Linked DNA regions of Struthio camelus. The protein of the gene in region 1 binds, or shares a complex with, the protein of each later gene. Links are inferred from orthologs where the notes say so. Each region holds a gene or a part of one and is shown in the gene's direction. Other genes may lie near its edges.

Region 1 (7,074 bases):
CCCTTTTTTGGGAAGAGCTAGTTGCCAGGTAGCTGGGAAGAGGGATTTGTTGGGCACTTCCACTGTGTGAACTGGGAGTCTTTGACAGGTGATGGTGAGGAACACGTTTATGAGAATTTGCTGGAAGGTGGAAGTGAAATAGATGGGGTGAGGAGAATCTGACTGGGTAGGAAAGGGATTGCCTGCATGCATGTATGGAATTGTTTTAGGAGACTGAGGGGAGAACTGTCGAGATGGTAAATGTAAGCTCCTTGAATTTGAATGGGAGTGTTAAGCTTTGAAAGCCTGGAAGAACTTCTGATGCCAACTTTAACGCATAGCTGTGGTGCTTGAGCTTAGTATTAAAAGCTGCTCTGCTGCACAAAGGATTTTGAAGCTAGTAGGTGCTATCACCATGAGCAGCAAGGATACGTAGGAAGGAGGGCAGCTTCCAGCTCTGTGCCTGAGTTACGTGCTGCTTGAAGTGGCTTGCATAGTACTGCTTAACACTGCAGTTACATTCCAGTAAGTAGTCTGTGGAAATCTTCTGTGCTATCAATTAAAAATCCAATAATATGTGTTGGCCCATTAGGAATGCTGACTGATTGCTCTAGAGTATCTATGCTGAATTTTGGCCGTTGAGAGTTTGATCCATAATGCGCGAACTGTGTAATGTGGGGCCCAAGTAGCTATGTAATTTCACTTAGTCTGACAGTGACAGCACCACTGCATATGAACCTCAATACAGTCTCAGTCCATAGCCACCACACTCACACAATTTACACTCGCTAACAAACTTTCAGCTGTTTTACAATTACCAACATATTAGCTGGCTTACACAAAGGCTTGAACGCATCATAGGGGTGTCTGCTATCAGTTCCACAAATATGTGATTGCAGTGGGAGCTTTCCTTAAAAAACAAACAAAAAAACTTAGAAGCAACTTTTTCAACACCACCATGTCTCACTGCTTCTGGTTCTTTGTTTTGTCTCCATTTTATCCATATGAAAGTTTTTTTTCTTCAAGCTTAATGAAAGTGTTTTGTAAGACTATCCAGGAATACTTTCATAAACTTTTTTCATTGTACCTAGTTGCAGTAGACAGTGCCTTTACTCAAGATTTGCTGGTTTCTTCTGGAACAGTGGTTTTAACGTTTCCTATCCCTGCTCTGAAAAGAATGGCTTTAGTACAGTGGTATGAGGGGTTACTGATCCTACAGTTGTGAGCAGGGAAAAAGAAACAGGACAAAAAGGGTAAAGAGTTACTTAAGCCATTACTGTTTCTTTTTGCAGGATGCTCTTGGACCAACAGCTTCTTTCTAGCACTACCTCAAAGTAAACTTGCAGATCTAACTCACAGGGAAGATTCATCAAATGCTGATGATCCCTCTCATTCCGCTGGATTTTTTTTTTTGTTTTGCCTTTGCCTTTTGTTTTGGCTCATTTTAAACGATGCTTATTCAACTCCAGTGACTCATGTTAATAGACATTGTTCATTTGAGTACACCTGCAAGCATTTCTGAATAAGTGTCATTAAGTGCATGTCACTATATAGAAATTGTTCTAAATAAGTAAAATGTAAGTAAAGTAAGTAGCATATGAATTTACAGAGAAAAGTTGCAGTGTAGCTGCCTTGGATGCTCATCTGGAAGAGGAAACCTTGTTTCAGGTTCTCTTAATATACTTAGCATACATGAGAAAGAGAATCTTATTTTAAAATGGAGCATCTCTTAAGAGTGTCCACTGTAGGAGTAACTTTAGTCAAATCTTTGTGCAGATAGGCTTTTAGAAGTCGGCATTACTACTGATAAATGACCGTTATTAAAAGGCACAATTTTTATCCCTTTGTGAAGCTTGTTCTTCCCGTAATGAAAGTCTGTCCTGATACCCTTCTCCTAGCAGAAGCGCAATTTAGCGCAGTAATTGATTCCTTGGCGAAAACAATGAAAAATTCAGGCTAACATGTTACCTTCTTTGTATTTTGTTGATGATACTGATGTAGATCTCTTTTGATTATTTTGCTATAAACTTTTTTTTGACCTGTATGTTGTGGAAATAGAGCCTTGCAGTAGAATTGGTCTGCAAATGTAATCCACTAGCAGCTTACAAGAGATCAGGTGGTTCTTACAGGTGCCTTCTAAATCCATGTGTTCCTTGTCCTGGCTGGCATAAAGCATCCTACTGGACACACAACTGTAGTTATACTGGTAGGGGAGGAGAGGAAGAGACCAGAGTTCTGCAGGTCCGGTTTATGGGGAGAAATACCTAGAAAGTAATTCCACTCCACTGGGATTTCAGAAGTGTCATCTGATCTGGATGACCATGAAGGCAGGACTAAGGACTAATAAGTGGACTGAGAGCTGGCAAAGCCAGAGAGTTGGGAAGATACCAGCAAGGTTGAAAAGTTCCAATATGAAGCAAGAAGCAAAGACTTTACGGTGCAAAAATCCCAAGTAAGATTCCTCCTAAAAGCAAGGACTGCTGCCACTGGGTTGCTTTTCTTGAGGCCTTCAGAACTACCCTTACTGGTGGGAGTTCTCCTAAACCCTTGAGTTTGATAAGGTTTTTCTTAAGGTGTTTGCTGTGATGACTGCTTTTATTTTTTGGTGGAGATGGGTGAAAGGGGTTGTGAAATACTGTATTATGGGTCTGTCTTTCATTGTTGAGTATCTGTGATAGACTCAGTGACCACAGTCTCTGTTCTACATCACTGCACGAGAAAAACTTTTTTATTGCCTTCTGTGTTGCGTTTTGGGTGATGAAACATTTTCATTGACTTTTACATTGAGTGGTTGAGAGTCGCTGCTCAGCTCCATTGTTAACAGAGTGGGCCAAATAAGTGCACCATCAGTGCACCGAATAAGGCATAGAGCCATAGATCTTTCTCAATTTTTAACTTTTCATAGCATAAAGTTTCATAAGAAACTAAAATATTTTACATGTTTCCAACGTGTAATGAAAACCCATCTTGTCTTGAGGTAGAGAAAGCTAGGTTGAAGCTTATCTTTTTTCACGTGGTTCCTGTTAGCCAAAAATGAATGACATTAAACCTGGAGATTGCTGTTTTTCTTGCTTACACGCAGTTTGTAGTGGGGTCCTGAAGTCACACCGCCTTCCCTCCTCCCCTCCTGTTTTTCAAGCTCGCTTTCCACCTTCTCCACGCGTCCCTTCGCCTGCTCGCTGGGACTAACGGAGGGAAGCCTCCGCGCCGGCCCCGGCGAGCCTCCCCCTGCGCGAGGGCCGGAGCCCGCGGGGGAGCGCGTCGCTCCGCGGCCCGCGGGCCCTGCCCGGCCCAGCGCGAACCTGGCGCCTGAAACTCCGAAGCTCTCGGCCTCGCTCATCTGCAGTTGGGGGGATTTTCACGCCCTTCGCGGGTGCCGGCGCAGGCAGCCCCCGCGCTCCGCAGGAGGACGGGCGCCGCCGGGGCGCCCGGCTCCGCGCGTCCTCCTCCTCCTCCTCCTCTCCCGCTGCCGGCCCCGCCCCGCCGCGGACTACGTTTCCCGAGAGCGCCCGGGGCGGGGAGCGAGCGAGGGCTGCCGGGCCGTCCCGCTCGCGTGACGCAGGCCGCGCGGCGCGGGCCAGTGACGGGCGGGCGCCGTGTGGTTGGTCGGCCGGAGGGGGGAGGGGTGCAGGGGCTCGGCGGCGGCGGCGCGAGCGGGCGGGCGGGCAGGACGGGGCCGGCCGGCGCCCGAGCGCGGAGCAGGCAAAGGGCGCGCGCGCGCGAGCGGGCGGGGGGAAGCGGAGCGCAGAGGAGCGAGCGCGCGCGGCGGGGGTGGGGGGAAGGGAAGGGGGCAGTGAGAGCGCGCGCGCGTGAGGGAGAGAGAGAGCGCGCGGGGGGGGGGGCGGCGCGGCGCGGCGGGGAGGGGCAGGCCGCGGAGCCCCCGCGCAGGCCGCGCGGCGCGTGGCGGGCGGCAGCCGCCAGCAGGCCGAGCCGGGCGCGTCTCTAGAGAGACGGTGACAGCACAGAGGGGCGGGGGGGGGGGGAGAGGGCGGCCGGGCCGCGCCGAGCCGCGCCGCGGGGGAGGGCGGCCGGGCGGGGGGAGTGGGGTGGGTGGGGGGGGAGGGGAGGAGCGGGGCCGCACGAGGCGGCGGGGGCCGGGCCCGCTGCGCGCGGCGCGGCCGGGGCAGCAGGGGGGCAGGATCCCAACATGGCCTCGGGCGGCGGCGGCGGCGGCAAGATCCGGACCCGGCGGTACCACCTGGGCGCCGCGAAGCCGCCTTACGCCAGGAGTAAGCAGGTGAGGCGCGGCGCGGCGGCGGGCGGCGGCGGCGGCCTGGGGAGGGCGGCCCCGTCGGGCCGGGCCGGGCCGGGCCGGGCCGGGGTTTCCCGGTGGAGCGGGCAGGGGAGGGCAGGGGAGGGGTTTCCCGCCGGGGCAGCGGCATTGTGGGATTTCCGGGCGGGCGGGCGGGCGGCAGCGGCCGCCGCCGGGCCCGCGGGGCGCCGCGTGTGCGCAGCGCCGCGCTGCCCCTTTTGTTTGCCTTCCCTCCGTCGCTCGCTCGTTGCCCCCCGCTGGCTCGGCCGGGTGGAGGGAGGAGATGCCTCGGCTCGGCAGGAAATAGAGGCGGGAGGCGGCCGGTGCCGCCGCGGTGGCCGGGGAGGGGCGGCCGCCCCTCTTCGCCCCGCCGTGGCGGGAGCGGGCTGGCCCCTGTCCTCGGCGACCCTCTTTTTGTCTTCGCGCTCTCTGATCGCCCTCGGAGAGACACCAGGAGGAATGGTTTGGGGTCGCCGTCTGGCAAACGCGGCTCTGCAGAGGAGCCCCCTTCTAGTTAAACTGAGGGATGTAAGTGCGTCTCTTCCAGTGTTTGCCCTGTGCACAAGTTCCAGCCCATCTTGCAAATCAGTTTGTGAGGGAAGCTATAGTTATTCATCTTCAGGTTTGGTTTTTGGGAGGACCCTCAGTTCTGCATCTGGTAATTTCTTCAGTCTCTTGCCTGTCTCTCTTGCCTGTGCTTAAATGTGCTGATGCAGCGCAAGTTAAATGTAATTCATGAGGCATTTGTTCTCCTTTTTATTGCAGGATAGAGTAGATGGATAACAAAAGCTAGTTTGTACACTGCACCACGAAAATCCCACACCAGTTAGTGGCTGGAGAGGGAGATGCAGAAATGCTTCCTGATTTCTATTTGCTAAGAATTTTCAAGAGGCCCGGAAACACTGCTCTGGATATGCCTTCGCATGTGTATGTGAACCTGAAGTGGGCTCTTCAGCCAAAACCTTTGCATTATTAAATCAGTAACTTAGTAACTTATCAGTAGCTACAGGAATGAGTATTATATCGAAAACTGAGGGAGCATTATGCGTGAATTGTTACTCATTTTTTTCTTATTTTGAGGAGTACTATATTTTTTTGAGGTTTATATGTAGTATACTGATAAGCAAGGTTGTCCCTATAAAGCTAGGATAGAGACACTGAATACAAAAGAATCACTACACGTGCAGAGCAAATGTTGAACGTTTCACGCGAATGACGGAATATTACTGAAAGTGCCATGTCTTGCATGTGTTCATACTGTGTAGATAAACCTGGCACATTAATCTGAAGTAATTACAGACTAGATGGTTTTCTAACTCTTCTGTTGTCTGTTATCTTTGTGCATTTTCTAGTAGGTTTATTTAAATAGTGTGCCAAAGCAAACACATGATTAGGGATATCTGTGGGATTCTACTCAGAGGGTTGGATGCTGCAACTTGAATACATAAATCAGATTAACAGTGAAGCATTGGAGAGAGAGTTATTGTAATGATTTAATAAATTGGCAAACTGAGAGAAGTTAGGTATGTGCATTTATTGTCATGAATAGCTTTTTAACCACGTGCGGCTTGTTAACTTACATAAGAAGATGAGCGTCTGGGTAAATAGCTAACCTAAGTTGTAGTGATTGACAAGCGTTCTTGTTTTCAGTACAATGTCTGCTCTGCAGAAGTATTCTGTGATTTAATACTAATTGTCTCTCTGTAGTGAGTTTCGGAAGACATGAAAGTGTTCAGTGCAACTTTGACATGATGCTGTACCTCTAGTCCTGACCCTCATCCCGCTGCTTTTATCAGCAAATAGAATCATAGCCTGTGGAAATTTGTTGACAGACCTTTTTTAGGTGCTTGTGGTCAAAATTAGAGTCCTGAAAACCCTCAGTCTCTTATCATCAAACTCTGAAATTATCTGAAGGTTGTAGGCAGTATAGCTAGTAGCTTTAAAGTTCCCGGGATATCTGATTTTTTTTTTTTTTTCCACTCGTATGAGGGATGGTTGCCATGATGCCTAGGCATCATGGTGTCTGCTTTCTGGTTGTTGTTCTTTTGCCATAATCTCTTGAGGAGTTTGATCAGGTGGTAATTCTCTGGTCATACGTAACATGTACTGCAAAATCAGTCTTCTGTAAAATACGGTGACAGCTTTAGAAGACAGTTGGAAGAGGAGGTGCTGCTTGCTGCTATATAACAACTAGCAGTTAAAGCATTTGTTCAGAATGTGGTAGACCCTGCTTTAGTTTCCTTTTTTGCCTTGAGGGATCAACCTACATCATCTACTTTCCAGGCAAATATCCTAGTTGCCAAGCTGTATGTTGTCTTTCGTTCTTTTGACTGAAGCTGGTTTACTATCCAGAAAAAGAATGCATGATTCATTGAGGCAGAAAGAGGGTATGTGAGAAAATGTTGCCCTCTGGCCTGCTGATTGGGGTGCTTCTTCAAGAACGGGGAGACATGTAGGCTTTGTTCCTTGTTCTCAGAACTTACTTGTTTTATGTTAGATAGTTCATGGAGCAGAGATGCCAAGCCTGGTGTTTCCTGCTCCTTCTTCCCAAATGCCCTGACCATTAAGCTTTAGAGCCATGCATCCTTATGTTTTTGTTTGTTTGTTTTTGTTTTTTAATCTAGTACTACCTTTTAAGAATCAGCCTCAAGTAGGACAGGTGAAAAGATGCTGTCTGCAAGATATGACTATGACTTGTAGCGTTTGTATTTTTTCTGGGAAATGGAGATATGGATTCAAATCCACTCCATTAATGATGGGAACTGAACCATGATATTTCTTACATAGAAGAGGGACTGTGAATACTATCTATAGATCTATTACTAAAAGAAAAAAAAAAAGTG
Region 2 (7,835 bases), on another chromosome or scaffold:
ATGTAAACAGTAACCACTTCTAGAAAAGACTCCAGTCTGCTGAAATTTTTGAACACATTTTTAAATGTCTTGAGGATAAGTGCTTTGTGTACAAAGCTTAAGAGGTTTATACTTCCGCTACTTCAATAGAAACAGAACGTTGTCCATACTGAAGCAAGAACAACTGAAGAATGCAGGCAGGCCTACTTATATTCAAATGAGTAGGAGGAGAAATGTTCTTTACTCATAAACATGCCTCTTAGAGTGATTAGTTTACTTTGGTCCTTCAAAAAGATATGGTTCTACTTAAAGCTCTGGATGATAACATACATAATTCATATTTTATCCAAATTAACGCAGTAATTTTCCAAATTCAGTGCTATACTTATGTATTGCTGCTTACTGATTGTAAAGTTAGTTTATGCTTACAGTGCACACAAAGTTTGTGACTGTTTTTATTTCCACCCTAATCTGAAATTGGTATTTGTCAATATCTCGAGTGTCTGAGCTTTCTGTGGAAAAAGTTATGTTTATGCCCTGAAATATAAAAGTATTATTTAAGTGAATTGCACTCTTTCCCATTAGGACTTCTTCCTTTCAGTGCAAATTTATTATCCCTTACATTGGTATTAATGCTATTCTTCATTCTCAAATTATTCTGTAAAACGAATGTCTACTTGCTTATCTTAAAGTAATACTTAAGACTTTTCAAGATGTTTTCAGATGCCCAAATGAATGGCACTGTAAACTCAAACTACTACTATTCTCTGCAGAAGAGAACATAAGAGAACTTGTGGAAAAGTACTGTAGAGTTAGATACTAAGTTTGTTTCATAATATGTACTGTGATATTGTGATGCTAGAAGGGGGAGGTGGGAGGAGAATATTGCTGAAGTTTTGATTAAAGCTGTGCATTTCTCTCTGGTTCTGGTGTAATTAGAGTTGCTGTTTTCTCATGGGTGAAGACCAGAGATGAGGATTTTCTTCTTTTTAAAAAGCGAAATGAATTGTGGATGAACCAAGTCATGGATTTTTCTAAAATTTTCTAATCCTTGCCAATTTGGGGGGTTAATTTAAGGAGGGGGAGAAATTCTGCCACAATAGTGAACTCATTCTAGATAAGCTTCAGTTTAAACTTATCAACAAGAGAAAGTTATTCCTTGACCTAAATTGTCAAAAGTGGTGCAGCTATCTGTAACTCTTCTTAATTTTTGAATTGTAATACAAAGATGCAGCTAAGCATCAGTGTAGACAAGAAGCTTTGTAAACTTCCATGGTAAAGCTGCTACCCCAGCAGCATCAAGCTGTACTTCAGTCCATAACTATTTTTATTTAGCCTGTGTATGGGCAGGAGAATAAAAAATAAAGCAAAAGTTGTTCAAATATGTAACAAAGTACAACTGTGTGTGGTTCTCTAAGGCAACATTAGACAAGCAGAACTCATAATTGAATTAAGGTCTTATTTCTCAGTCTCGAGCACCCTATGCTTTCATTTTTTGAGAGTTTTTGAACAACTTGATTCTTAAAACCTAATTTAACTTCTGTTATATAAAGCCAAACTCTGGAATGGTACTTGACTTCCATTTTTTTCTTTATATTCTCAGTCTGGAAATATAAGCAAAGTTATGTTTTGTATTCTTATTTTGTTCTCAGTGTTGACATTTGGGCCTCAAACATACTTTCAGAGTTCAAAAAAGGAAGGGTAAAGCAAACATCTTCAGAATTTTGAATCATCAAGCAGAGGGTGAATGGAGAGAAGAATGTCTTCATAATTCCACTGTATGCAATAAAATAAAACACTTTAATCAGTACTGAATCACTTTAGCCTCAAGAAATATTAGTCATTTCTAACAGTTCTACAGCTTTGATGTTTCAAGAAAGTTCACTGACACAGTTTTTCCTTCAGGATTGTGGCTGGGGTAGACTACTCAACTGAAAGAAATTGTAATTCATGAAATTTTTTTCCCCCTCTCCTACCATAAACCTTCGGAATGTTTTCTCCAATCTTGGATTCAAACTGCAGTTATAGTGGAAATTCTAGTTCCTCCTTTGGTTGGTGTACTTTATCTTTCAATAATATGTGTTGTTTTCTTTTTTTTTTTCCTTCTAGATCTAGCAGGGAGGATTTAGTAACTTCAGTCACATCCTGAGTATAAAAATCTGCATCTGAAATCCTAACTCTCCTAAGTGGGACTCACTGCCTGTGAGGTGCCAAATACAGCAAAGTCCCTTGGCACTGCTATCATGATTTTCAGACACAAGTAAAATGACACCTACTTGTCTATTCTTCTTGCCTTTTTAATAGTTTTATTCATCTGAGCTCCATCCATAAGAGTAGGCACAGGAGTCAAAATCCATTTAGGAGTCCCTCAGGCAGCTGTCATTTGAGAGTCAACATTGGCATTTTAATACAAGCAAGTATATGCCCACTTTCAACCTTGAGAGTGGAAAAAAAAATGTTTATGCTTTAAAAAAAAATTGTGAAGAATTAGGCACTTCCAGGAACGTTTGAACTAGGAGAAGATGGGCTAAAACATGAGATTTCTTTCATTCTCATAACAAGAAACAAGACATAATGTAAGTAGCATGGGGTTTTTTTTGTACTTAAGAAAGCTCAGCTAATGTACTCTTGCTGCTGTCATACTTAACTCATAACTATCAAAAGCAATAGCATAAGAAACTGTGTTAAGAATGTTGAATTTTGGATATGCAAGTATCGTGTATGCAGTTTCACAGTACACTGAGGTAATTTATTTTGATGAAGTGACTATATAGAAACATGCATTGTAAAGGGTAATTTGAGTTTTAAGTTAGTCTACTTTACTCTAACTTAGTGTATCCAGTAAACACTAACTTTTTTTATAAAGCTAGTAGTCTAATACCCTTATAGTGTTGGGACAGAGAGGACTTTTGGGTGATAAACCTGCTATGATTCTGTGTTAGCAGTGCTTGCTGCTGAGTTTTTTTCACTAGTCCTGCCTGTAACTGTGGAGCATTACCAGTCCTCTTGATATCCTGACAACATGGGTGCTGTTAGGATCGGTGTTGATGTAAATATGTAAAACACAAGATGGATTTATAAACTTTAGTATTATAAATTTGGGGTGTTCTGTATATTTCAGGCTAAAGACACACGTTATATGTAACAATGGACTGGTAAATTCATATTCCCTTCTGTTCCTTGGGAGTGTGAGATGCTTGCATGAGAGACTGTTTTGGTTTATTTTCACCCTATCTTTTTTCTTTTCCTCCTACACTAGTCAAAAAACACCTCCCCCGAAACACACTTCAGACTGGGGGAGAGGGCGTATTATTCTTTCTGGAGCCAAGTTGAAGATTAAGGCGGTTCCCCTAGCCTGTATTTAAAGAAGCCGTATACTAAGACAAGTTCTCTCAAGGCCTCCAAATCTTTTCTTTTACTTTTGTGGGTTTTTTTAAGAAAAAAAAAAAAAGTCCCCTTCAGCCTGAGTCTTGCTGCTTTTGCTTTGTTCTCATCTCTTAGGTTCTGCATTGCTTTACTACTTTTATGTATCGCCTCAGGTTCGCTCATTCTCTCTTGTCCCTTCTGCCTTGAGAAAGGGCTAGCGTGGGAGTTTGAGCTGGTGGCAATGCAGAAAATTGAACCAGGTTTGAGTTTGTGCACTGCTCTGCTTGAGTCTCCTACTGCAGTATGGAGATAGTAATGCTACGCTGTCTTGTGAAGAGCTCTTGAGAACCAAAATGTACTGAATGTGTAGCAGTATCAAACTGGGATAATAGTTCCTTAATATTCTGTAGCAAAGGTTGTTGCCTGACATGATAGTCTACATGATACAACTTCAGTCAGTCTTGCCTTTTTTTTTTTTTCCCCCCTCTCCATCCAAAACTCCAGTTTCTGGGTGAGTCATCTGCTCTCTAAGGGTCTTCATGCTGCCTCTGTTCCTGGACAGCCGCTCTTCGTCCGGACTGCCAGCTTTTCCTCTTCTTGTGGAGCCTCTTTAGGTTAGGCTCTCCAGCAGCTTCAGGGGAAACCAAGACTGGATGTCCAGCAGGGGCTGTCTGCCCAGTCCTGCTGCCTTTTGCAGCTCTTGTTTTCAGATGCATTGCTCACTAGTCGCTGTCTGAGGAGTTTAAATGCCTGATCAATTTCTTGAAAATGCCTTGTAATTGTAGCTCTGCGTGCAGCTGAGCGCTTGCAAAGGTTTTTCAGTGCTTGCCTGGCTATTTTAACAGCATTGTTTTGAGTAGTTTTCCTTGTACTAGAGCACACTTGAATGAACTGCTGCCAGCACCATCCAGGTATTTGTATTGCTATAGCACGGAAAATTCTGGCCTTCATGAAGTTTGTGAGCCAGCCCTTGAGGAGGGAGGGGAGAGGCGGTTATGGACAACTCACCTCATAGCTTGGTTAACTTGCCCACGGCGGTAAGGTTTGAATAATCCCTGAGGGTACCTATTTCTTTGCCCCTTAAAGCTGGCCGGTCTGGAGAGGAAGGGGAAGGGGAGCAGCCACCCCTTTGGCCTAAGATAACGCAAAGAGCGGGAGGCAAACGCCGCTAGCTAAGGTGGTAAGAAAAACACGTTATTTTACGAACGTCCCGTTAGTCTATGTGTACGGAATGAGATAACTTAAATAGCGTTTAAAAGGTTGAAAGTTTTTTTTTTCTCCTCGCTTTCTCCAGGATCCCACAGCTCGCAGAGCTACCGGCAAGGCAGCCTTACGGCAGCTACGGGGACACCTCTGGGACCGGCGAGGCTCCCTCGGTCCCGTCCCGTCCGGTCCAGCCCGCCAACGGCCGCCGCGCACGTCCCGCCGCTAGCACATCCACTGCTCCACCCCTCCCCGTGGGGGCGCGCATGCGCAGTTCCCCCCCCCCGCCCGGCGCATGCGCAGGCGGCCGGCGTCGCTCCACTGGGGCGGAACTACCGCTTTTACCTTCCGGGCCGGGCCGGCGGGAACGCTCGAGTCGGCTCGCGCCAGCGGCCGTTATGGAGAGGTGGGTGGCGGCGCCGCGGTACCGGCCGCTGCCCCGTGGGGAGGCGGGAGCGCGAAGGCCGCCCGAAATGGAGGCGGCGCGTGGCCTGAAGCGGGGCTGCCGCGGCCACGCGCGGCTGCGGCGGCGAGGACGCGGCCTTTCTTTCTCGCCCGTGTCTGGCGGCGCCGCTGTGGCGGCGTGTCCTCCCCGCCGGGCGTCGTCTGCGCAGGGTGAGGGACTGCGGCGCTGGAGCTGCGAGTCGCGCTCGCGAGAAGCCCACGCAGGAGCGGGGACGCAGCCGCGCCCACTCGGGGTCCGGGTAGTAAGACAACAACAGGAATGGCTTGTCCCGCCCAGAAACTTAATTTACGGAGTAAAAAAAAAAAAAAAATCTAGACAAATTTGGAAATTTTTTTTTTAAAGGCTACAAAAGCAGTCTGCGCTTAAGTAGTATTTCATAACCCCTTATAATATCGAGGAACGTGTTCTGTTGTGCACTAGAGCAGGTGGACGTGATTTGTTCACGTAGAGGAGGAAATACATGAGGAAGGGTTTTAACGTAGCAGAGTAGATACGTTGGAAACGCGTTTTCCATCTAACTGCAGCTAGAGGAATATACTTATTACCTGGTGGAACAGCTTTTTAGGGATGTAGAATATTTTTATATCGCTTGACAGTTTTAAAAGCAGCTATTCTTTTCTGTAGTATACTTTTAGTTTAAACTGGAATTGTTATTTAGGCGAACACTACTTAGTGGGGCCTTTGCAAGGTGTTCTTCAGAAAGGTCTGCTTAGACAGCTGCAGCTGTGCTCTTCAAAAACCACTCATCACATCTTTTCATTCGCATTTTAATTATTGTTGCCAAAATTCTTCCCATTCTGTAATGCATGTGGACTTTCTCAATCTGTGATGATTTGGTGCATCTGAAGAAAAAAAAACCTGATGAAATCATCTTATTCTTTCAGTTTAAATTTTGAATTTCACACTGTCGTGATTTTTCTTGCTTTTTTATTTTTATTTAAAGAAAGGATCTATTGTCATGTAAGAGGAACAACATATGGATTTTCAGAAAAGCCAATCTACTTTTCCTGAGCTGATGAGCAATACTAAATGTTCTGTATGAGAAACTGGATAGCTATACTAAAATTAGCAATGACTTAGCATGGCTTTGTTTTCAATTTCTCAGTTGTGGAGTTGCACAAAAAAGAAAGTCTTAATCCATCCTTAAAAACGGAATAATCTGAAGCAACTTTTTTTTCCTAATGTCTCAGAGTTAATAGCGGAATAGTATTAGGCTACGTTTATGTAAGATTTGGATAAAGAGTTACAGTGCTTTGTGCCCATTGCACAACGTTTTTGGGACTAAAGGATTAATTGATTTGTATCCTTAGTTGTTTCTTTCTCCAGCAGAATAAGAAACAATAAAGTTGTGGAGGGGAGGGAGGTGTTTTGGTGGTTTTTTTTTGTAAAGGTTGCTACTGGCTAAGTGTAGACCTTCCAATTCAAAGGTCTGTTTTTGAAACGTGTCATTACCTTGTCAACTGGGATTTTGAGTCAAGCTATGGAGTTACTAGTGTTTGAAAGGAAGGATTAGCCAGAAGAGAGTAACATCATAATAATAATATTATGTTTTGTTGGAACAGTTTGCTTACTTTGTGTTTCTATTGCTGTTTTATAGAAATGATTTTGGAGACATGTCATCCCCCTGTGATACCGAGATGGCCAGACCTTGTCGAAAACAAAGTTCCCAGAAAAGAGTTTCTAGTATCCTTTTTCTGTATAGTTTTTTTTAATCTTCTGTTTAGTCTTTGCTTGCTATGTTCACAGTGCACAAGTATATTGACACATGCAGCTGATCTTTGACTGTATTTGCAGTGATTATTTAGATTGTGGGCTAGATATGGGTGCATGTGCATTACCTTCCTTCTAAACCTGTGCTGGCACATTTAGGTATCCCAGTATTTTACTGTTTTCATAGGCTTATGAACTCAGGTTGACCTCAGCCTAGAGATCTACGTGAGCCATAGCTGACTCCATCCTTGAGCTTTCTTCACTCCATTATATCTTAATTTTATGTTCTTATGCTCTTTAACCTGTGTTTTGTTTTATCTGAGTATTTTGTTTGTTCAGTGTGTCTTAGCTTCCCACCCACAGTATTATCAAGAGAAGTGCACGTGCATAGATATAAACTTCTACAGAACTTCTTTTAACTTACTTACGATAGCAAAAAATATTATACGATTTGGCAGCTAGTGTAATTATATTTTTCTGATTATGATAGCAAAGGAATCCAGTACATTTCATCCTTCTGTTTTTTGTAAAAAGAATAAAACTGGCAAGGTATTGGCTGTGATTATTGTTGTCCTTCAGAATCATGACGTTCTTAGACACTGACATAACTTAGGGCGCTGGAGCTCTTGCACTACTGCTTGTTAGTAAACCGTGCTTAGAACATTGAAGTTAGTTAACTGAGAGGAAGAGGCAAAGTAGAGCAAGAGAGATGTTTTTGTGGAAGTCATCAGTGTCCTGGAAAAGAAAGCAGGATAGCTTTTTTTGTTTTTTTTTTTTTAATGTATACAGTCTCAGATTTGCTGATCATGAGTTATATTGGATACAGCAGCCCCTTACAAGGGGAGATAATTCTCCTTGATCCAAGCAGTTAGTGAGAAGCAAGGTGTCCTAGACCTGTCGTGCTCTTGTTTCTGAACTTTGCTTTGGGGTGTCTCCAGCCCTCCAGCTTTTAAATTTCTGGTGAAGTATTTCATGGCTTATTTGAGCTTATTAAATGAGACTTTCTGCTTTAGCCCTGCTAAACTTGAAGGAAAAGGTGTATGTTCCTTATAATGTTTTAGCTACAACAAAGATTGTTTCTTTCCAAGAATTCACAGTCATTCTGGGTAGA
Region 3 (7,282 bases), on another chromosome or scaffold:
TCCCGGGCGTAGGTGCGCTCCGACTCCACGATCTCCAGCACCACCCGCTCCAGGTAGCCGGGACGGGCGCCGCGGGGTGCCGCCGGGCGCCCGCCGCGGGGTGCCCGCCAGCTGGCCGGCGACGCGTTGTTGTTGTTCCTGTTGCCCGGCCCGCCGGCCCGCTCCTCCAACCCGTCTCCGGCCGCCTCCTCCATGGCCAAGCCGGCGGCCGGGGTTCAGAGCCAGGCGCCGCGGCCGGGTGGCCGCCGGCATGTCGGCATCTCGGGGGCCGCCGGCCCGGCCTGCGGGGAGACGCGGGGCGCCGCACGTCAGGCCCCCAGACGTTTGGGGAGGAAAGGGGGGTGGTGGTGGGGGGGGGGATGAAGAGGATCCCACCCCTCTCCAGGCCCCGGACCCCGGCCGGGCCGTGGCGAGGCCCGAGGCGCTCGGAGGCCAGACCCGAGGGTGACCTCGCGCTCTCCCCCCTCTCTCCACCTCCGCCTTTCGGGGCTCCCTTCCCTCTTACCCCCGAGCGGCCCGAGGAGGAGGAGGAGGAGGAGGAGGAGGAGCGCGGGCAGGCGGGCGCCGCCGCCGGGCAGAGGCCTCGAGGGTGCCGGGCCGCCAACCGGTCAGGCCGGTTCGCCTCGGCTCCTCCCCGGCGTTTCGGGCCCTACCGGGAGGTTGGGGAAAGGGGGGGGGGGTCCGTTCCCCTATTTTGGGGGGGGGGGGCGGTGGGTGCCGTCTGGGCGGGAGGAAGACGAAGGAGAAGGCCGCCGGCGGGTCGCCGTCCGGCCTAATCGGCTCAAGGCGCCGACCTGGGGGGGGATTTAGGGAGCCGGGCCGACGTCACCGGCAGACGGGGGCGGCCGGGGCGGGGGGGGGATCGGCCCCGTCCCGCGGCGAGGCGCGTCGGGCGCTTCCCGCCTTCGACGCCTGTCCGTGGGTCGGGAGCGGGAAGGGAGGCGGCGGCGAGCTGGGGGCCGGAGGACGGAGATCCCGCCGGAGCAGCCCCATAAGACGGGGCGTTGTGGGGTGGCTGGGAGGGGGGGGGATCGCCGCTCAGCAGGCGTTTCGGCCCCGTCCCCCCCCCAACCCCGGCCGCCCTGGCAGAGCCACGACGGCCGGCCGGTCCCAGGGCCGAGGCGTCCCGGACGTGGGGGGGGGGGGGGGGGGGGGGCGGAAGCAGAGGTGGTGGTGGTTTGGGGGGGGGGGTGGCGAGGGGTCACCCCCACGTTAGGCACCCGGCCGGCTCCGTCGAGCCGAGCTGCACCCCCCCACCACCACCCCGCGCGGGGGCCGCCCAAGCCGCTTAATCCCGCCGCGTGGACGTGGGGGGCGCGGAGTGGGGTGGGGGTGGGAACGACCCGTCCCACCGCAGCACCGTCGGGACGAGCAGAGGGGGTGGGGGTGGGGGGGGCGGCGCACCCCTCGCCGGCCCCGCCGCGACCCACGGCCACGCCGCGGGGCAGCCCGCCGCCGCCGCCGCCAACACCGCCGCCCCCCTCGGGGCGCGCGCGCGCCCGCGCGCCCCCCGCCCCGCGCGCGCGCGCGCCCGCGCCGCACTCACCCCGCGCCGCCGCCGCCGCCGCCGCCGCCGCCCGGGCCGTGCCCGTGCCCGCAGGAAGCGGCGGACGAACGAGCCGCGGGAGGCGGAGACTGTGACCGCCCCGCCCGGGCCGCTCCGACCTCGCCCCGGTACCGGACACGGCGCTGTCGCGGTTATGGTGTCCCGGACACGGTCCCGTGGGGAGCGAGGGTGGGGGGGGGGGAAGCGGTGCCGGCACCCACCCGGGCTGGGGCACCCTGGCCGTGTCCCTAGGGGGGACCCACGGCCGTCTCCGCGGGGGTGCCTCTAGGGGCTCGGGCGTCCCACCGGGGTCCCTGCCCGCCCCAGGGGACGTGGGCACCCACACAGGACCCCCACCCCAGGGGATGTGGCACCTCCCTGGGGTCCCTTCCCCAGGGGACGTGGGCACTTCACTGGGGTCCCTTCCCCTGGGGGACGTGGGCACCCGAACAGGGTCCCTGCCCCGAGCTGTGGGCACCTCACTGGGGTCCCCACCCCAGGGACATGGGCACCCAGATGGGGTCCTTTCCCCGGGGCACATGGGCACCTCACTGGGGTCCCTTCCCCAGGGGACACGGGCACCTCACTGGGGTCCCTTCTCTAGGGGACACGGGCACCTCACTGGGGTCCCTTCCCCAGGGACACGGGCACCCAGATGGGGTCCCTTCCCCAGGGGACACAGGCACCCAGACGGGGTCCCTTCCCAGGGGACATGGGCACCTCCCTGGGGTCCCTTCCCCAGGGGACGTGGGAACCTCACTGGGGTCCCTTCCCCAGGGGACACAGGCACCTCACTGGGGTCCCTTCCCCAGGGGACACGGCCACCCAGACGGGGTCCCCGCCCCGGGGGACACGGCCACCCAGCCAAGATCCCCGTCCATGCGGGGTGCCCCACCAGAGCCGCCACCGGCGCGGGCACGTCCCCCGGGGCCAGAGGTGGGTGCTGCGACAGCCCTTGCCGCTACCCAGAGCATGACGGCGGGGGGGGTGACGAGGAGGAAGCTCCATCCCGGGAAGGGGGCCAAGTCGAAAGCCCCCCGGGCGGGGGGTGGGGGGGACCCGGAGGGGGCGAGGTGCCCAACCGAGCAGCCCCGCGGCACCTGCCACCGCTAGAATGGGGCCATTCTGCCGGCGGGCAGACAGAGGGCTTTGTGCCGCCGGGCGCCGCGCTCTCGCCTTCCCCGCTCAAAGGCAGGATTGTTCAGGGCCTCGTGCTCCCTCTGACCCCCCCCCCCCAGTGCCAGCTCCCCCGGGGAGGTGTTGGGAGTGTGGTGGTGGTGGTGGGGGGGGGCGCTCACCCACCTTTCCCGGCTCGAGCAAAAGCGCATTTTTGGTTTTGTTTTTTTTTTTTTCGCAAAAGCAAAAGTGCTTTTCCTCGTGGCGCCCATCACCGTGGTATCATGCCTGCTCCCCCCCCACCTGTCCCGCCCCCAACCTCCCGAAGGTCACAGCCGTCCCTTTGCCCTTGAGCTCAGCTCCCGCTCAGCCTGGTGTTATAGGGGTGGCGGGGAGGGGAGGGGGGGGGATCCAACTCAGACCCCCCCCCCCACCCCCGGGCGGGTTTAAAGCTTTCGTGGGGAGCGGGACAAGCCGAGCGCCGCCCAGGGACGAGCGATTTGCTTCTACCTGAAACTCGAGCGGCCCTCGACAAAGCGGGAGCGCGAAGGGTCGCGCCTTATCTCCCGCGCGGACGAGGCCGGGGCGCGCGATGAAGGCTACGCGCTCGCCCCGCCCGCCGAAAACGTTTTTGGGGGTTTTTGGGTTTTTTTTTTTTTTTTTTTTTTTGCATCTGTTATTAGCAGCGGACGATTTGCAAGCTAACGCGGGCCTCCTGCCCGCGCGGCGCAGCGGCGGAGCTTGGGCGATTTGCCCGGCGAGGCTCGGCAAGAGGAGGGCGCGCGACTCGACCCCGAACCCCGCAGCAAACCAAACGGCGCTTGCCGCAGCGGCGCCGCGCAGCCGGATGCGCGAGGGGCGTACGGGGCGTTTCGGCGCGCGCGTCCCCGTGCCTTCTCCCGCCCAGCCCTACGCCGGGGCGCGTCCCCATCTTGTGGGTCCCGGCTCCTCTCCCCCAGGCTCCAAACCCCTCTCCCCGGCTACGGTCCCCCTCCTCCTGGCCCCCTTCCCCAAACCCCATATCCCAACACCTCTCCCCCCTGCGCTCGCCCCTCTGCCCCAGGCCCCAGCCCCTCTCCCCTGGCCCCCTTCTCCCAGGCCCCATAACCCACCCCTCTCCCCAGCCCCTCTCCCCTGGCCCCCTCCTCCCAGGCCCCATAACCCAGCCCCTCTCCTCTGGCCCCCTCTCCCCAGCCCCCTCCTCCCAGGCCCCATAACCCAGCCCCTCTCCCCTGGCCCCCTTCCCCAGGCCCCATAACCCACCCCTCTCCCCAGCCCCTCTCCTCTGGCCCCCATCTCCCAGCCCCTCTCCCCCAAGCCCCATAACCCACCCCTCTCCCCAGCCCCTCTCCCCTGGCCCCCTTCCCCAGGCCCCATAACCCAGCCCCTCTCTCCTGGCCCCTCTCCCCAGCCCCCATCTCCCAGCCCCTCTCCCCCAGGTCCCTTAACCCAGCCCTCTCCCTCAGCCCCTCTCCCAGACCCCCTTCCCCATTTCCCAGCCCCTCTCCCCCTGCCTCGGCCCCTGCTTCCCCCCACCCCCACCCCGTTCTGCCCGCTTCCCGTGGTGCCCCGCGGCGCCGCTTTCCCGTGATGCCCCGCGCGGCGGGCGGGCGGGAAGGCAGGAGGCGGCGGCGGCGGCGGCAGCGGAAGATGGCGGCGGCGCTGGCGGAGCGGAGCTGCCTGGAGCTGAGCGGGGCGGCGCGGGGCCCGCCGCGGCGGGTGCGGGAGGTGGTGTTCAGCCCGCCGGGCACCGTCCCGGCCCCCGCCGGCCGTTACGGCGACAGCGCCGGCGGGTTTTGCTACCAGGAGAGCGCCCAGCTCGCCGCCGTCACCAGGAACCGCTTCATACGCTGGTGAGTGAGGCCGGGCCCGCCCTCCCCCCCCCCGGCTCCGGCGGCCTCGGCCTCTGCCCTCGCCCTGCGGCCTGGGCCTGGGCCTCTCCAGTGCCGCCAGCTGGGCCCCCGCGCCTCTCCCCATACCCTCCCTGCTCTGCCCGCAGGACCACGTCGGGGGACGAGGTGGAGCTGGTGGAGGAGTCGCTGGACATCAACCTGCTCAACAACGCCGTGCGGCTCCGCATCCAGGGCTGCCCGCTGCTGCCGGGCGGCGTGCACGTGTGCGAAGTGCAGAGCCACCTCGTCATCCTTCTCGCCACTGCCCAGACCGTGCACCGCCTGCTCCTGCCGCACCCTGCCCGCATGTACCGCAGCGTGAGTACCGGCACCTGCCTCTCCCGGAGGTCCTGTGCGTAGGCATGGCGTGCAGGTGCTTCCAGGGCCTCCTGCCATGCCAGGCACCCGGCTCCGTCCTGCAAGTATGCAGAGCCGGGAGCCCTCAGGACAGCACCTAAATGAGTAGCGAGATAGCAAAGACCTCAGGGTGTTTCCCATCGAGGTGGGGACGTCGTGGTATTTCCAGCACTGCTGCTGGGCATCCTGCAAACCTGGTGACGCCACACTGCGGTCGTCATGCCTGGGTCATAGGGGCTGACTGGGTATAGAAACATTTATGCTAGATTGCTAACGAATACAAAGCAGAGCTCTTCCTGTGCTTTTTGGAGTTGGGCACACAGATCCACGGCAGTCTGAATATTTCTTCTTAGTAAATTAGTTTGTTTCATAGCTGTGTGATCAAGATTTGTATCCTGTGCTGGAACCCTCTGGTGTTTCCAGAGGCGCAGAGCTGCAGTGTCAGTTTAGGGACGTCTCTTTAGTTTAGTGGTTTAATTTCTTACTCAAGTGACCTCCTAACTTTTCTAGCTGAACTGCTTTTTAGATGTTATAAAATGCTAAACTCACAAGTCCTCTAATTTTTGGCCAAATACAGCAAGTTTGTTCATCAGTGCAAGGTAGATCTCTATGTGGAACTGAAAACTGCTGGAAAAAGTATCTGTCAGTTTGGAGGAAAAATCAAGGAATCTCTCACTTCCTGTAGAGCTGAATTTAGTCAGACTGCGTGCATGGATGAGGCACTGGTCATTGGAATAAGATTTACAGTGTTTCCATATTTATAGTGTTAGAGTGGCTTGGTGTCACTCTGGCAAGCTCCTCATCCTGCTTGTCTCTAGCCTTTGGTTATGGTTGCTGCGCGTGTATTTGTTCTGGTGTTGTATTTGCTCTTTGCAGGTCTTAGGCTAGGCATCGTGACACAGGGGCCAAAATGGTATTTGGAGGTAGGAACTGAGCAGTTCAGAGAAAGACGGCTTGGGCGGGTGTGTAACTTGTCCTGTTTAAATAGTAAGGTATATAATCTCTTTTTGTTGCACGTGGAAGATGGATCTTATGCAAAAATTACGTTGCATGTATCCATCCTGGTGTGACCTCTGGGTATCTCTTGGAGAAATCATAATCTCTTGCATTTAGGGTTCAAAAGAGCATTTCCAAGCGGTGATGCTGTGCTTTTGCAGAGCTGCTTTCTTTCTGGGACCTGTTACCAATGTTTTGTTATGAATTCTCTCACAGCAGCCGATAGAAGTAGGACTGCAGGACTCCTTTGGGGATGTTAGCATATGTCAGGGAGGGAGAGAGCGTTCTGCTAGAAACTTACAGGTTTTTAAATCCTTTCACTCTCTGCTCTTAAAGAGAAATGGTCATGGGTTAAACGTAAGGGAAGCCAAAAGTGGTGGTGAGCAGAGAGGTCTTACCAGAAAGATCCTTTTTATAAAGTAGCAGAGTTGCAAGTGTCGTTCCACTGGTGTTTTTCTGTGGCTGTGTGTGTGTGTTGAGGATTGGTACTCCTTTCTCTGTTTCCCGTTTCCAGGAGCTGATAACAGAGAGCCAAATGCAGTCCGTGTTTACAGACATTGGCAAAGTCAACTTCAGAGATCCTTCAAATTACTACATGATTCCCAACGTGCCAGGCCTAGCATCTAATTCTGTTGCCTCAGCGGCTTGGCTTAGCAGTGAGGGAGAGGCTCTCTTTGCTCTACCCTCTGCTTCGGGAGGAATCTTTGTCCTTAAGCTGCCTCCTCACGATGCACCTGGTAAGGAGTGGGAACAGGCTGTGTCTTCATAAATCTATATCTTTATGGAGCGCGGTTTAGTGTTATCCTGCACGCTAACAAATAGCCTTGTCTAGACAGAAACACCCATTCCGTCCTGGATATGCTTTAGGATATGCTCTGTGTGTGTGTGTGTGTGTCACTGTGGTCTTTGCAGTTGTGCTGGTACATCTCAGCCTGTCCAGTAACGTCCCTCTTCTAGTTTTGGACTTCAGCTGATTTCAATTTTTGTCATGTTTATCTCATAATTTCGCTACACCCATGTGCCCTTCTACATCAGATCTGTGAAGTCCTTTGTTGGTGGAAGTATATTCTCTTGTTAGCAAGTACTCGGTATATTTGTTAATACTACTTTTTCTTTTGAAAGGAACAATTTCAATCGTGGAACTCAAACAGAGCTCAGTGATGCAGCGTTTCCTTACTGGTTGGATGCCAACTGCCATCAGGTTAGTGTTTGGTGACAAACAAATGGAACTTTTTTTTTTTTTTTATTCCCTCACATGGAGACCCTTAGTGTTTCTAGTTGAAATCAAAGATAAGTACGAAGGAGTCAGCATCTATAAATACTTTGTCAAAAAGGTTGAGTAACTTGGTCACAGGATCCAGCACAGTGCTGAAGT
Region 4 (7,812 bases), on another chromosome or scaffold:
CCGCTCTTTCCACTCCTACCTGTGTAATTTTCCTTGACTTACCATCCAAAGAGTGTTCCAATCAGTGTATCCTGCCTGCTTTCTCTGCATTTAATTACGCATGTTATTGTTTTTGTATTTATTAAAGCTACCAGTAGGCAAGAAGCACCTATGGCTAGAGAACACTACAGGATTCTGTGGAAATTCTCCTTGCACGGTCTGGCAGCGTACCAGTCTCCTACAACCTCCCTTCACCTTTTATTTTAGCTTTCATGAGCAATGGGCAATACCATTTCTACCTCCTAAAGTCCATTATCACCACCGGGAAGCAGGACTATACAAGAGAAGAAAGAAATATAGCATCTTAAAACCCCCTCTAACTCTTCTCCTTTGTACACAGCTTGTTTAAGCAAGACTCAAAATTTACTGGGCACGCTACAGAACAAAGGAAAAGTGCCGTTTCCCAAAGGATCTTAAATTCTATTTATAGAAATGATGCAACAACCAGAGGAGCAACCGCTGCGAGGAAGGGTGCCACAAGGCGGATGTTGCTTGATGGTCTCATTCTTCTGCACTCTCCCCACTTCTTCCACCTCCCTTTTCAAAGACCTGTGCGCTGCAGGTCCAGGAGGATTTCTTTGGGAGTGGCTTTGAGGAGGCAGGGTGAAACTGGTCAAGGCCTGCCTGAGAGCAGCATGAAAGAACTGAACACAGGAACGACATTAAGTTGAACATACGTTAAGGCCAGTACCAGAATAGAACAAATCTGATTCAAAGGAGACGTGAAAATAAGCTAGATTTCATGAAAACATATGGGATTTCACTACCTCTGCAGAAATTATACACGCTCAAAAAAAAAAAAAAAGATAAGCTAAAACCTGTTTCAGCTATACCACCATAGTGTGCCTTGCCACTAATCACACAGATTCCCAGTCACAGAGCAGGTTTTTTTACAAACCTCATATTTAGATGGGTTTTCTTTCCACATAGCAACAGGGGAAACTCGCATTATACAGGTGATCCAGTTCAGCTAAGAATAAACAGAGTGATAAAAAAATGCAAAGATAACAGGCTAGACAGCAGCACTCGGAGCAAGCGGCAGGGGAGAAGCCACACTGTGAACTACAAAGGACCGAGTCCTGCAAGGTCCAGGCCACAGCAGAGGGGGGCAAAGGCAAAGCTCTTTGTCTCTCAGAGCTCCTCCTCTTTAAGGCACAGAGTTGAAAAGAAGTGAATGGGGAAGCATCACAGGGAGAATTCCAGAGAAATTCCATCTCCAGGAAGAAAATTCCACGTGCCGTTTCATAAATGTTTCCATGTCTGGTTTTATTTTTGTACAGCAGATTGATAAGGAAGAAATACAATGTATCTAGATCTTGCAGAACACTTGGGCTTAATTCTCCACCTTCTGTTGAAGAAACCTGAGTAGGGAACATGGGTGTTCAACACATACGTCCCCTTTGACGCTGAGATTTTAAGACATTAAGATTTTTCGGATATTAACATAGCTGCAAGCAGAGGGTTTGTGCTGCTTCACATCAGCAAGCATAAGACTACAAAAGCAATTCCAGTTCATTCAAAACTGTGTATTACTTAGCAATTAATTTAGTGCAAGAATAGAAAAAAAAAAGGTTATTTGAAGGCATGAGTAACAAAGTAGGACTAAATCTGCTTTCTCAACCTGAACTCTTAAGTCTGAGTGGCCTATTCAGGCCTTCCTCTTCCTTAACGCTAATTTAGCCCCCGGAATAGAACATATATTTTGCCTGTTCTGTGCTTTCGATGTTCATGTCGATCTTTCTCTCCCTGCCCCAACTCAAAAAATAGCTTTTGAACCTTCTGTTTTCCAACTTAACTCTCCTCCTTCTCAGGCACTGTTTTTTTTTTTTTTTTTTTGCTTTCTTCCTCCACACCCTCCCCCCAGAAAATGCAAGGCAATTTTTTTTTTTTTTGCTTTTGCCTTCCTTGGCTGGACTGATGGCCTGCACTCTAAAACTCTGAAGTCTTTCTGAGCCATATGAAGTTTGATGCTGACATAGTGGTTCCCAGTTCTGCTTAACTGCATGAACTTGACAGGCAGAGGCCATTTTGATAAGGCGCAGATGAAAGGCTCCCTTCTAGATACATGTGGACCTCCAGCCAGCATTAAAAGGAGGGCTTGGAGTTTTCAAGATTTCATACTAAAACTCACCATTCCCAAGCTGACATCCCCAAAAATCAACCACCTTCCTTATCAGTTCAAGAGCATTAGAGGCTGTAGACATGAAAAAATATTTTAATTTTTAGCTAGCGAGCGAAGCAGACTGTATGTGCCAACTGAGGTTTTACAGAATGTAGCAGAGGACCAAAGAGCTACTCTGTACCAGCTTTTAGTGTCTCTTTGCACAGGATGGGATTCTGGAGCAGAATAGGACACTATCTCACTTCTAGATCTTCCACCCCCTTGTCATCAACACCTCTCTCCCCATGCTGATGAAGAGAAAAATAAAGACCATTGAGACCGATGGGCACTCCCTAGGGTTGTCAGGCAAGGTAAGCTATAGTTGGTAATGGCTGACCGCCCACTTCTCTGGCTCCCTCTCTCTGTGGATAAGGCTGTGGTTCCCCACAGAACGGTCCACAGAGATATGTGTTTAGAAAAGGATACAAGGGAAACAAGAAAACGGACACAGCACAGTCACTGAATGAACACAGGGATGCCCCGTGTACTGAAGCGCCCCTAGGAAAGCCGCAGATTCTACTGTCATAGTTGATACCTGGTTGATACTCAAACAAACTAATGTGGAGACAACTCCTTAGCTTCACTACAGGAAAAACAAATAGCAACTCCCATCCTTCCTGCAAAGATCTCACTTGTTAGGCAAGCCTCAGATTTCAAGTAAAAAGAGAGAGCCAACTCTACAGTATTCTTTGTAATTCATTAGCGGCTTTTAATTACGATGCCCATAGAAGCAGTGGGCTCTTCGCTTTTCTCCTGCGCGCTGGCTGGTAACATAAGCAATATGAAATCTTCAAACAGTCACTAGAAAAGACGCAGTTATAGAAGCAGAACCCTATCCTTGAAGGATGGTGACAGAAGAGCACTTATAGCTGAACTCTCAAACATCCGGTTTTTGATTTGTATCAGCAGTCATTTTAGTAACACCTTGAAGGATATTTTGGATCTAGATTATTCCAACGCTAATATTCTCAAGAGTCTTCAGCACAGAGCAGTACCATTTTGTAAGACAGCAGGCAAACTTGACTATGTACAAGCAGCGATTCAAACACACGTACATCCCTAAATTCTGCCAAAATATAATAATCTTACCGAGAATAAAGGAAGAGCTTTCTTAAAACTGATGTGTCTTAGAGTCTCGAGCAGGTTTTTGAAGATTTCAGTTCTTCTACCCGACAACAGGCCATTCCTCCCTCCTGACTGACCTGAAGAGACACCGCTTCCTGTTGGCAGCAGGATCAGTGTGGCAACATGCTCCTACCAAAGATAACTGCTAGCTTTATTTTTATTGGAAATGATGGATGCAGGTGCTGATAAAGTAAGAAAAAAAGGCAATTTAGCAGTAGGGTGTTGCAGTATTTGTCATACGAGGACAGTGAATGATTAAAGCTATCTTGAAAAATTAATTCTCAGTGAGCTTCCTTGGGAAGCATTAAGCCCCAGCATTAAAGGGGCTAGCTTCTTCCAGCTATGAGTTTAGCAAGGTAGCATCATTAAAGATTTTTCTTAAAAAGAATATCACTGAACAAGTTTGCTTCTTAGAGGGGGAGGCAGAAAGTGAGGATTATGCCGAGACAGGGAAGGGGAGCAGAATGGAAGGAAAGAAACAGCACATGGCTAATGATTCCCACAGCAAGTTCTTCAGGTATACTCAAGTTCAACTCCACCGGCACTTGAGCCCCCAGAGCTAGCAGGGGGTTGATCACACTAAACTCCAGCAGTCTCAGCAGGCAAACCGTGCCCAGTCTCTAGGGGGGATTAACTCCCAGGCACAGCAGGGGAAAAATAAAAAAAAATTTGTGACCCCAGGTATGGGAATGAGGCACAGAGGCAAGGCGGGAATCCTTCTCCGCCTGCCAGCACTGCCCCTCCACCCACTACGATCGATCTAACGCTTCACTACCAGCCCTTCTCTAACCTGCTGGGCCCAGCCGAAGGAGCAAGGCACAGAAATCCGATTAGTCGGCTGTATCGGAGCGCTTGCCGGAGAGCTCCTGCGACTCCGCTCCGGGGAGCCTCACCCGCAGCGATCTGCAGGCTCATCTGTCTGCAAGTGTTTGAAGCGCGTAAAGAAATAACAGAAACCGATTATCACGAGGCACGGGGATAGCTTCCTTCCGCCCCCCCCACCGTGAAATACGGCGGGCAGGTACGAGGTTCGGGGAAAACCTACCCACAGCAGCACGGGGAGGGCGGCGAAAAGGCGCAGCAAGCCCCTGAGCGGGGCGGGGGGGAAGCTCACCCCGGTGCGCTGCCTTAGGCCCCTTCTGCCTCTGCGCTACTGCGCTGGGGCCAGTTTCAGTCATCGCTGCCGGGACAGGCAGTGGCCGCCCGGGCGGCGCGGTGGCCCCCCGCCAGGAGGGCGACTCCCCCCACCCCGGCCCGGCCCGCACCGCCCCGCTCCCGCCCGCGGGGCCTTTGGAGCTCGGCCGCGCTTCCGGGGCGAGCGGCCAGCGCCTGCCCCAAACCGGCGGAGACCGGCCGGGCTCCCTCCCCCCGGCGGCGGCGGCGGCGGCCGGCGCCTCGCCGGGGCGGGCAGCGCTGACGGGAGGCGCGGCGGCGGGAAGGAGGCGGGAAGGAGGCGGGCGGGCGGGCGGGCGGGCGCAGGCAGCGGCGCGGGCAGCCGCGGCGGGGCCCTGCGCGCCGGGCGGGAGGCGAGAGCGGCCGCCGCCATGGAGGAGCCGGACGCGGAGCCGCCGCTGATGGTGCGGGCGGGCGGGCGCGGGGCCGGGGGAGGGCCGGGCCGGGCCGGGCTGGGCCGGGCGGCGAGCGCCTCTCACGCAGCGGCTGTGCCCTCGCAGGTGGTGCCGGGCGTGGACTCCGCCGCCAGGCAGCTGTGCTTCGAGTGGGGCCCCGCGGAGATGCTGGTGTGCGAGACGCTCTTCGGCGGCAGAGGTGGGTGCCGGCGCGCGGCCGTTGGCGTCGGCGAGGCCGGGCGGGCGGGCGGGCGGCACCGCCGGTTCCTCCCCGGGGCTGCGCGGAGGCCCGGCCGCCGCCAGCGGCTGCCGAGCCCGGGGCGGGGCGCGGCGCTGCCCGGGGGCCGGCGCGACCCGCTGGCGGCGGCCCCCCGGCTCTGACCGGACGCCGGCAGGAGCCGTGGAGGGGCGGCCGAGCTCCTCCAGCGTCTTCGTCGTCCGCAAGGACCAAGACATCTACGTACAGACCTTGCGCAAGCTCTTCAACGAGTCGCACGGCATCTTCATCGGCCTCCAGAGGAGCGAGGAAGAATTCGCCGGGAAATCCAGGAAAACACAGTGAGTGGAGCGTGGTTTCGAAGTGCTGAGAACAAAGGTCGTCCTCGTTCTTTCGTCTGCCTCCAGGGACGATCAACCTGCACTACTTAGAGCCGCTGTCAATCAGCGATAACAGTGCAGTATAAACAGCTGTTGGGGGACAATTTTACACAGCGTGGCCCTGAGGCTCTGCTGCGCAAGGCCTTTACCTGTGCGTAGCGTGTATATAGTCAGCGCCTCCCGCCTTGCCACCTTCCACCAGCTTTGCCCAAGTAGAGGAAGAATCTACTCGCGCAAAAAAACCCTGCAGACAAAAGAAAACTTTAGCAGACAACAGCCAAAGACCTAAAACTCAAACAGCTCTTCCTAAACGTGGTCTTTTTATGCTTGGCAGATTGGTTCAAGTGAGTAAAAACTACCGCTCGGTCATAAGAGCCTGTATGGAGGACATGCACCAGGCAGCTGGTAAGTTTGCTTGTTTGTTTTCCTACTGTGATAAAAAGAAATGCTATCTGTGAGTGTAAAAATAACAATGCAACTGTAAGTTGTACTGCTTTACTGAGATTTTTTGCACTATGTTTTAATTGATCGGGGGGGGGAATTTGCTTCCTTTTCATCTCTCTGGTTGCAGTTTTATGGGAAACGGGCCAAATTAGCAGCTTGCTGCCAAAAAAGTGAGAAATGTTACTCCTCCCTTTCATCCTTGTCCTGTAAATATATCAGATTTGTGGGAAAAAAATTACAAAGAGATGTAAAAGGTTATCCTTTGTCAGGCATGTACTCATCTAAGGCTATGATTGGTGAGTGACCAGGACTGTTTATCAGTAAAGGGTGGTGAAAGAAGGTAAATGCGTTGTTTTGTGACCTTCCTTATTTTTCCCTCAGTTTCAGCTCGGGACCCTGCCCTGCACAGCCAGTATAGTACTCAGGTAATCCGCAGTCATGTCTGCACAGTCACAACTGAAGAGGAACCGTTGGCTAGCAAAGTCGTCAAGGCCGACACTGTTGCAGTAATGCGTTTTAGTTGCAGCTCTGGCTTAGTGTATTGAATACAGTACGTGAGCAAGAATACATGGGTATAAATAGTTAGCACCTGTATTTCTAAAACAGTAAAAAGATGCCCAACATTGGGATATACTGCCATTTCTTAAATGTGTATTCAGCCTTACAGGTGTGATGTTTTCTTGCCATCTAAGAAATCCAGCTGTGGGCCAGTACTCACCTGGCTGAAACCTCACTTCTCAAATGCTGAAGTTCCCAACAACTATGTTTGAGCCTTGTAGCAAGCTCTGGAAGTACACAGTGGACTTTCAGACTCTAGAATAATGTTGTGGGAAGAACAGCGCTCACAGAAGCATTGTCCTATTAGCAGCACTGATGTTGCTTAATTGGCCTTTCTTTGCAATCTCAAATGCAAACGTAAATTATTTTTATAAAACAAAAATGAATGCTGTTTGTAACGTTAAATCTTAGGAGCGCAAAGAGGCTGAAAATAACAGTTCCTCTGCTATTTTAATCTCCCACTAATGACAGATTATTATTGTGTTTGAATACACAAACCGCTGCAGTATTTTCTAAGGTGAATGTGAATAGAGAAGTTGTGGCCTGCTTCTGTCTTTTAATTTAGATTTCTAAAATATAAGTAGCGTGTTTCTCTTGTCTCTAAGAACCAAGCTGAATTGAGCAATTGCTATGGGCAGTAAATGCCTTTGTGCAGTTGAAAAAAAAGAACACTATTGTAATAATTACTAAGTCTGAAACGCGTCCCTGCTTTTTTCAGGTTTCTATTCTTTCTGCGATGGAGCTGATCTGGAACTTGTGTGAGATCCTGTTTGTTGAAGCAGCTGTAGGTGAGCAGTGAACTACCCTTGATGTTAAAATTGAAGGGCTTTTTGTTTGCCTATTCATTTGTTTAAAAAGTGTATAGCATCCATTGTATCATATCTTAATATCTTTTTGGAAATATTAATGACAAGTATCAATAAGCTCTTTAATACCTTTTCTGCTTTGGCAAATTGTCTTCTACATCTTGAATTATGGCAAACTGTTAGATTTGTCTTCTATTTTTTTCCCCTCACACCTAATAAACTATGAATTGGCTTTTTTTGCAAAAATATAATGGAGAACAGTGATAACAACATTTGTTGTCACTTTATTTGACTTTTAAGCATAAACACATTTTTAAGTATCAGCTGTGTAAGGTGATATCAGGTAACACACATTCTCTGGTCCAACTCCTTTAACTTTAGGATGTTGTCTTTGAATTCAGTTTGCTTATATCAGCACTTTAAAGAAGGAAATGATCAGAGTATGCAAACATATGCTATCTACTCAGTTCCTGAATTCAGATGAGAGGTTCACAAATGTAGATTATTAATGTGA

The links.
Region 2: NUP153 (region 1) and NUP107 share a complex: the UniProt entries of both Homo sapiens proteins name them as parts of the nuclear pore complex. The link is inferred for Struthio camelus from reciprocal best matches to the Homo sapiens genes NUP153 and NUP107.
Region 3: NUP153 (region 1) and NUP160 share a complex: the UniProt entries of both Homo sapiens proteins name them as parts of the nuclear pore complex. The link is inferred for Struthio camelus from reciprocal best matches to the Homo sapiens genes NUP153 and NUP160.
Region 4: NUP153 (region 1) and NUP85 share a complex: the UniProt entries of both Homo sapiens proteins name them as parts of the nuclear pore complex. The link is inferred for Struthio camelus from reciprocal best matches to the Homo sapiens genes NUP153 and NUP85.

What each region holds. Positions count from the first base shown.
Region 1 is NC_090943.1:99,955,734-99,962,807, reverse strand, and holds the start of NUP153 (nuclear pore complex protein Nup153), read left to right. Parts: upstream 1-4,061; 5' UTR 4,062-4,126; coding exon 4,127-4,216; intron 4,217-4,399; exon of another isoform or gene 4,400-4,690; coding exon of another isoform or gene 4,691-4,759; intron 4,760-7,074. UniProt on the Homo sapiens protein: Component of the nuclear pore complex (NPC), a complex required for the trafficking across the nuclear envelope. Functions as a scaffolding element in the nuclear phase of the NPC essential for normal nucleocytoplasmic transport of proteins and mRNAs.
Region 2 is NC_090942.1:40,445,301-40,453,135, forward strand, and holds the start of NUP107 (nuclear pore complex protein Nup107), read left to right. Parts: upstream 1-4,833; 5' UTR 4,834-4,946; coding exon 4,947-4,954; intron 4,955-6,611; coding exon 6,612-6,697; intron 6,698-7,835. UniProt on the Homo sapiens protein: Plays a role in the nuclear pore complex (NPC) assembly and/or maintenance. Required for the assembly of peripheral proteins into the NPC. May anchor NUP62 to the NPC. Involved in nephrogenesis.
Region 3 is NC_090946.1:5,690,232-5,697,513, reverse strand, and holds the start of NUP160 (nuclear pore complex protein Nup160), read left to right. Parts: upstream 1-4,279; 5' UTR 4,280-4,312; coding exon 4,313-4,515; intron 4,516-4,661; coding exon 4,662-4,872; intron 4,873-6,421; coding exon 6,422-6,644; intron 6,645-7,029; coding exon 7,030-7,108; intron 7,109-7,282. Other genes in the region: PLEKHG3 (pleckstrin homology domain-containing family G member 3), read right to left, coding at 1-194. UniProt on the Homo sapiens protein: Functions as a component of the nuclear pore complex (NPC). Involved in poly(A)+ RNA transport.
Region 4 is NC_090960.1:8,208,603-8,216,414, forward strand, and holds the start of NUP85 (nuclear pore complex protein Nup85), read left to right. Parts: upstream 1-4,798; 5' UTR 4,799-4,869; coding exon 4,870-4,902; intron 4,903-4,998; coding exon 4,999-5,092; intron 5,093-5,288; coding exon 5,289-5,451; intron 5,452-5,824; coding exon 5,825-5,895; intron 5,896-6,315; coding exon 6,316-6,359; intron 6,360-7,210; coding exon 7,211-7,280; intron 7,281-7,812. Other genes in the region: uncharacterized protein, read right to left, coding at 485-683, 938-1,009, 3,290-3,402, 4,371-4,503. UniProt on the Homo sapiens protein: Essential component of the nuclear pore complex (NPC) that seems to be required for NPC assembly and maintenance. As part of the NPC Nup107-160 subcomplex plays a role in RNA export and in tethering NUP96/Nup98 and NUP153 to the nucleus.